Coturnix japonica: one gene and its partner. The protein of the gene in region 1 purifies or fractionates together with the protein of each later gene. This does not show direct contact. Links are inferred from orthologs where the notes say so. Each region holds a gene or a part of one and is shown on either strand. Other genes may lie near its edges.

What was found.
Region 2: the proteins of NEK1 (region 1) and CFAP410 purify together in Homo sapiens (affinity purification with mass spectrometry; 3 studies listed by BioGRID and IntAct, with this or other methods). This does not show direct contact. The link is inferred for Coturnix japonica from reciprocal best matches to the Homo sapiens genes NEK1 and CFAP410.

The regions. Positions count from the first base shown.
Region 1 is NC_029519.1:22,223,767-22,227,581, forward strand, and holds part of NEK1 (serine/threonine-protein kinase Nek1), read left to right. Parts: intron 1-145; coding exon 146-200; intron 201-1,352; coding exon 1,353-1,553; intron 1,554-3,815. UniProt on the Homo sapiens protein: Phosphorylates serines and threonines, but also appears to possess tyrosine kinase activity. Involved in DNA damage checkpoint control and for proper DNA damage repair.
Region 2 is NC_029524.1:3,309,363-3,313,226, reverse strand, and holds the end of CFAP410 (cilia- and flagella-associated protein 410), read left to right. Parts: intron 1-217; coding exon 218-389; intron 390-962; coding exon 963-1,056; intron 1,057-1,879; coding exon 1,880-1,940; intron 1,941-2,116; coding exon 2,117-2,274; 3' UTR 2,275-3,146; downstream 3,147-3,864. UniProt on the Homo sapiens protein: Plays a role in cilia formation and/or maintenance. Plays a role in the regulation of cell morphology and cytoskeletal organization. Involved in DNA damage repair.

The DNA of each region.
Region 1 (3,815 bases):
TAGAGGATGTACATTTGAGGGAGACTGTAGTTTACTCAAAACATCACATTTTATTTTCCTTTTCAAAGGTAAAGTATTTGTTAAAGAAGTTATTTGGCAGTGTTAAACCCACAACAAACTCTAAGTTGTGTTGTTCTTGTTTTAGTGATATCTGGGCCCTTGGCTGTGTTCTCTATGAGATGTGCACGCTTAAACATGCAGTGAGTAGAAACTTGTTGCTTCTTTGAAAGAATTCCTACTGCTCTGCAGATGTATTTCTGTTGATTCAGGGCTTTCATAGTGACTATTTAAAATTACCTTCAGCATTTTAATTTTCTTTTCCAATACTGACAAACATTTACTATGTTTTGATTCATGCCAATCTTTATTGGTTTGGTTTTTTTGCTTTCAGTGAGGTTGAGTTAGCTGAAAAGTTGCTGGGTGTGTTAACAAACTGTGCTTTTCTTTCTGAAGGCTTGACGTTTTCATTGTAACTGAGAAGGCCTAAATTTAGGCTGCCAGCTTTTGTGTAGGTGGATTTGTACGTTTCTGTTTGGAACACTCTTAGTTTTTAGGAAAAAAAACTGGCGTGATGGAGTTGTGTTTTGTTTTTTAATATGATTCTTTATCACTTTTCAGTTGGGACAGGAAGAATAAAAACATTTTTGTCAATTTGCTTTATTTAAGAAATAACTATTTTTTCTAAAATAAATAAGATTATAACATATCAATTTGAGGGGGGAAAAAAAGCTTAGGGCATAAAGATGAAAGCTATCGCAATTTCTTATTACATAGTCCTTTCAGAGAGAACAGTGTTAACAAAGTTGGTTCTCTGAGGGTTGATAGCAATTTGTTTTCTGTAAGCTGTGTGATACATGCTGTTTTCTTTTAACTGCTCAAAGGAATTGAAGTGGTGTCTTCTGCCTCCTGAGCTCAAGCTAGTCTAAACATTCCTTTGGATTTCACACTGAGTGACTGTGAATGCTTTACATTCTTTCATTTGAAATGTGCTGCTCTGAAAAGAGCAGAAAGTGGAAAGTATTCAGGAGATCAGATAAGATCAAGCAGATATTGTTATATAATTATAATTAACTGCATATCACTATTCATCTAGATCTGAGGGAAATAAATATTTGCTTGCAAAATATATATAAATATGGTATGAAGTAACTGTAGTGTAGTATGTTTATAAACTATTGATGAAAACTGCTGATGACCTTGGAAATTGATTTTGTTATGCCCAGGCACAAGAAAGTGTGAGCTTTTTTTGTGTTTGACCATGTTCTCTTTTATTTCCCCTCACCTTTTATTCAGCTTTACGTGTAGGCAAGCAGTAATGTGTAGTAACTGTCTGGTTTTCTTACATGATACAGTTTGAAGCTGGTAACATGAAGAACTTGGTACTGAAGATTATCTCTGGATCCTTTCCTCCTATTTCTATGCATTATTCCTGTGACCTACGTAATCTGCTGTTACAGTTATTTAAAAGGAATCCTAGGGATAGACCATCAGTAAACTCCATATTGGAGAAAAACTTCATAGCCAAACGGGTTGAAAAATTTCTCACGCCACAGGTATGGGGCTGGTTTTAATTTCATTTGGTTAAAAGGTCTTAGGACTGTTTTTTATTCCAGTGTCAATATACAGTATGAGAAAGTGGACTAATGGTATTTCCTAAAGCTTTTGTGCAAACCTTTTCGTTTGAGAGAAGAGAGTTGTTACTATAAACTACAAAAAATAAAAACAAATACAATCTCAACTTACTGAAGTATTTGGTAGTTTCACAAACAAATTTAAATTGACCTTATCTTAAAGAGTATTATTTTGTATGTCTTTGTATACAGGGAGGAATTTTGAGTCAGATGTTCATTTGCTTACATATATAGTTCTTTCATGAAGTGGTGTTGTCTTCAGCATCAAATCTTTATTGTGATTGCTTCAATCCATTTGTTGATGCAATTTGGAATTGCCTGCAAGCTTGTTTTGTGAAATATTGCTAAGTAAATGTGATGTTTGAATTTCTTGCATACATAACATTGAAGAAATTATTCAATATTCTGTTTAGGATCTATTGATATAATTTGACAACTATTCAACCTATTTTAATGTAAATTTAATCAAAAGAGATCAAGAATAATGAGCACTGATGTATGAGGTAAGTAAATACAGGATGAGAAAGGACATGGAGAGAATTAATGCAAAAGAAGACCTCATTAAATATAAAGAATTCTGATGGACTCAAATTCTAACATAAAGAAATTTTGGGGGAAGGCCATATATAATTGGAATTTCTTTCGTATGGAAAATAGGCTTTCAACTAATGGTATTTAACACTAAAGTTCCAGCAAAAGACCAGATTCAGAAATCTTCATAGCAGACTTGTAAAAATAGTAGAAAATCTGTCTTTTAAAAAACTGAAGGCTTGATCAGATTTTACGTCTAGCAGCTAGAATGAAACTTCTGTTTGTGATGATTCAGACATGGTATAGCTGGTAATAGACTGCTACCTGATGTCAGTATTTTCTTGGACTAAGTACAAATATTTGCACACAATTCTGTAAACTGATTCACTGACATATTCAAATTAAAAATCTTAAAAGACAGAGAAGGAAATGACCAGGAAACATCTCTTATTGAATGTGTTGGTAACTGGTGCATACGTGTACTGTTGTCTTCTGCTATCCCTGGTCTGAGCTAAAGAGATCCTCATTGGTTCTGTCATCTGCAAAACATGACAGCTGTTGCTGAAATGCTGCTCTTAACTGCTTGAAAATCAGTCTCCCATGTTTATATAAATTCTTAATAAATTTTCACGGTCACAAGTCTGCTATGTGTGACAGAACAGGTACACCATCATAGACAGCTTTTGGTATTGTTTATTCTAAACCTTCCTCCTTGACCTTGGTTGTATTCTATGCTTTTTATATTGGGATTATCATTTCTGCCCTTTTGTATTTCTTTGCAAAATCCCATGTAGAGTTCTAGACATCTGTTACGCTGCATGACATCTTTTTACAGGCTGAAGAACTAACTTACTTATTCTTTGTACTGAAGATTTTGTATGCTGTTAATTCTTACTGCTCTTCTTAGAAACTTTTCCATCTCTACATTATTTTTGGTTCAGGGATTTGGAACTACAAGTGTTCAAGATGAGGTGTGAGGATAATATATTAATGTTTATTATCTTCTGCTAACTTGATGTGTGTGACTAAACCCCATGTATGTTATTCCTAGATAGCCTATGTATATGTGTATCTCATATAATCTTCCCATCTCAGAAAGCACAGAAAAGCTAAAATATGAAGAAATCTCTAAAGGACTGTGCTTTGACACAGTCTATCTGAGAGACTGAAATGAGATGTGAGAACTATACAGTAGTTTAGAGCAGACTGTTCATAAAACACATGGTGAAGAACACTTAAACTTTATTCTAGTTTCTTAGTTAAGTCATAGTTCAGGTAACGTGCAACCTGAAAACCAGACTAAGTAGTTAATTAAAATAATTTTATTAATGTTTTTATTTTGAATTAATGATTCATTTTGCTTGGAGAAGAGTAGGCTCTGGAGAGACCTGATAGCAGCCTTTTGATATTTAAGAGGACACTATAAGAAGGAAGAGGACAGACTCTTTATCGGGATATGTTGGGATAAATCAAGGGTAAACGTTGTTAAACTAAAAGAGGGGAGATTTAGACTGGATACAAGGAAGAGATTTTTTTACAACACAAGTGGTGAGGCACTGGCACAGGTTGCCCAGAGCGGTGGTAGAAGCCCCATCCCTGGAGACCTTCAAGGTCAGGCTGGAGCAGATTCTGAGCACCTGATGTAGCTGTAGG
Region 2 (3,864 bases), on another chromosome or scaffold:
CTGGTATCTTTCTCCTTTTAAGAGCTTGGTGACAGCCACTGTTCTCTCGTGGGGGAGAATGAAAGCAAAAGGCCTCTACAAAGCAGGATTGTTGGGTGAAATTCTCCGGGTGTAGCTCTGCAGCAGCAGCACATTCCTGATCACAGGCAATGTCTTTCTGGGCTGCTGGAGCTCATTGCAAGCAAATGGCTCCAGGCTGTTGTTTTTGCTTTCACAGCCGTGACAGAGGAAGAGCTGTCCCAGGCCCTGGTTGATGGGGAGGAAATCACGGCCCCACCAGCCAGGAGGAGTATGGAGAATGGCTGCTCTGCATCCACAGAGTCCAGTGCTGCCGAATCCACAGTGGAGACTGAGAGCGAGATGCTGAGCTTCGGTTTGGAGGAGACCAAGTGAGATATTAGGGCTCTTGGGCTGGACCTGTGGGTAACATAATAGGACCCTGCCAGCCAAGCCCCCCATCTTCTATGGGCAAGCCCTGCAGTGGGTGCAGATTCCTGTTGTTCCAGTTAGTGTGATGGAGCAGTGCTGGGTCAACAGTACTCACGGGTCTGGTTCTCTATCTGCCAAACAGGCCCTTCCACGGAGGGGTGCTTGCTATCAGCTGCATGTGCAGACAGAGGTGGGTGAGCTCACCTCCTTAGCTCCCCTGCAGCATGCTTTGGTGCTCATCAGCACCGTGCACATGCTGGAGTGTGGTGTGATGCAGTTGGTTCCCAGTCCCATGGCTGAGAGCAGCCTCCTCTTATTGCCTTGCCTGATTACATCCTGTAGCTGTGAGGCTCTTACTATGGTTTTGCTCAGGCTGCTGTGTTCTGTAGGCAGCCGAGGTGTGTGAGATGTGCTTTGAATCCCTTGGCTAGAGACTTGTTGGGTGACTGCCAGTGACTGCAGAAGTTTGGCCTGGCCGAGTAAGGTTTTGCCTTCTGCTTATTGTAACATTTGCTCTTCTTCCCTTTCTTCAGCAAAATCCGAGAGCAGCTTGGTATGAAGCCTGTTCCTAGGGATAAATTTTCCTCCTTCTCATCTCAAGAGGTGGACTGTAGCCAAAAGACAAGAGTGAGTATCTTTCAAGTCCAAATTGCTTTTCATCTTTGCAATGCCGTGCTGTGTCTTTATTTTCCTCCGCACGCAAAGAAAGCCTGATGAGGTTTGTGCTCTCCATCTGTCTGCCCACGGGCACGTGTGTCCCTGCACTAAGGCAGTGCTAGGAGGTGGGCAGCAGCTGAAATGCAGCTGGTGAGCGGGAGGATGCTGAATCGAGTGCATAGGTGCATCTTCAGCCCCCTCGGTGGTGTAACCCCAGATGAACCTCATGGATCTTGGCTGTGCAGCTGGGAGCTGCTGTATTCTGGGCTCGGTGCCATCGCTGCAATTGGCATAGGGAGGCCATAGTGAGGATCTAGACCGTGTTCTGCCTCATTCTGATGCTTGTTGCCTTCATGTCCACGTTCATTCCATGTATTGTAGGCTTCCTTTATAGCTCCAAGAGTACTACTGCAGGTCCTGCCTTTTTTCCCTGTTTTTCTTTCTTCTTTCTGCCAAATGAAAATGAAGGGGATGTGGGCACAGACTGCAGCTGTGGAGCTTTAAGTTGGACATTAGGAAGAAAGATTTCCCCTACAAGGTGCCTGGAGAGGTTGTGGAATCTCCCTCTGGAGTTTTTCACGACAGGGTTTGACAGAGCCGAGTTCTGGTGTTGGCAGCAGTCCTGCTTTGCTGGAAGGCTGGCCTGGGGACTTCCAAAGGTTCTATCCAGCTCCTGTTTTTGCTATTGTCTTACCATTGCTCAGATCAGAGTGGGGGCAGGTCCTTTCTCACCCTTCATGTGGTCACACTGGAGAAAGGACAGCTGTTCAGTTGAGCGCCCTTTTCCCTACAGGAGCCAGAGGTGTGCGGGCAGTCTATGCAGGACTGGGTGGACGAGTTTGTCCTGCATTCCAGTGAGTCTCCTCCAAGGCAGCCTCTGCCCCTCAGGGCCTCAGGGGGGTCGGTTTGTCCTTGTAGGTGCAGGTGATGAAGTCCCTAGAAGGAGCAGCAACTCGAAAACCGAGTGCCCCCCTTCTCTGGGCTGATGTTAACGTGTTTGTTTAAAGCAGTGTCTGTCTCATCCTGGCAGAACAATGTGCTGAACGCCATCCTGCTTCTCACGAAGGAGCTGGACGCGGAAGGTCTGGAGATTGTCCAGCAGACAGTGGGGAGGAGGCTGCAGGCCTTTCGGAAGAGAGAGCTGCAAGAGGAGTGAGGGTGCGTGCTGTATCCTGGAGCACTCCGTGAGCCAGGGAGCTTGCCCCAGCCCAGCAGCACCACTCTGCCCATACATGCCTGGCTCAGCACGTCCCGCTGCACTTCCCCTGTGGATGAGGTGATGCTGGCTGAGAGCAACTGCCCCTTTACCTCTCCTGACATTGCCCCTGGCTGTGTGCATCACGCTGGCAGGATCTGCCTCTCAGGAGCTTTCCTGCTGGCCTGGCAGGCTCTGTTAATGTGTGCATGTTGCATCACTGGGGTCATTCGATGGGAGCCATGGCATGATCAACAAGAAAAAGCTAATAGGGCTGTGGGCAGAGGTGCTGCTGTGCTGTACAAATGAAGGGGCTGGAAAGCCTGACAGCAGCCAGAAGTACCACTGCTCCCTGTTGGCCGAGCACTTGGCCAGTTGTCATAGAACAGGCTCTGAAGGCAGCTTCTCCCACAAAGGTTTGTTTGAATCTTGGGAAGACGCTGCCTGAAGGGTTTTCAACAACTCTCTGGTGCAGATGGTGAAGGTCAATGTCAAATTCTTTCTTTATCTTAAAACTCTTGATTTCTTTCGGCCTTGTTAGTACAAGCAGCATCTGATTCCATGGTCAGGTGGCCCATGGAAGACCTTGGTGCAGCCTGGGTGAAGCAGCACATCCTGAATGCTCTGCTGTAGTTTCGCCCCTGCTTGCCCTCGCAGGCATTTGAGCAGCCCAAGGGAAAATGAACCTTAGAGCAAAATGCTCCTGTGTGTTTTGGGAGAAAACGAGCCAAGCATTGCTGTCGGAATGCACAGGTATCAAGGGTGGTGCTTAAGTGAAGAAGCTGCGTTCAGAAGGGTTTTACAAAGCTGTTAAATACCACTTGAAACATTGTGACATAGCAAATAAAAGCCGTTTTCCCTCTAGGACCTGCGAGTTGTGCCTGGGGCTCGGCAACCATGGTGAGAACAACTGACTCTGGGCATTGCTGTGTTACATCTGGGTCACGGCTCCCATTGTGAGCCCTCTGAAGCCGCAGGGCAGCTGTTGGCCCCTGCTCCATCCCGCTTCACTGACCGTGAAATGCTTCATCTGACTGCAGTGCTGCTCATAACCACAACTGCTGCACCTCCCTGCTTTCCAAAGGCACTTTGCTGCTGGGGCAGCTCTGCAGCAGGGAGCAAAGGGACTGTGAGCAAGGCTTGGTGCAGAGATGCAAAGCCTGCAGGATGGGGGACGTGGCCTTTGGTGCGGTTCTTTGCAGGGCCTGGGGTGGTTGTGGCTCTGCTCCCTGTGTCTGCACAGGCACCCAGGCCCCTGCACTGGGTTGTGCTGATAGGATGCTCCTTGGGGATGTTAGCCCCGTGCACACAAGCACATCTATGTGGCTTTGGGATGAGGGGACACAGCGTGTCCCTCTGGTGAGGATTGCTGATGCCTTTAACTCTTCAGATGACCTAGTTCTTGCCTGCTGTGTTAAGCCCAGCTGCACTGAACTGGTCAGTGTGATTTATTATATACTAGTCTTGCCCTGACAGCCAAAGCCCCAGAGACTTACCCGGCATCTTGTTTGCATCCTGCCCTTGCACAGAGGTTAAGTCTTCTCCCAGGCTGCCTCGACAGCTGTTTGGTGGCAGAATTTGCA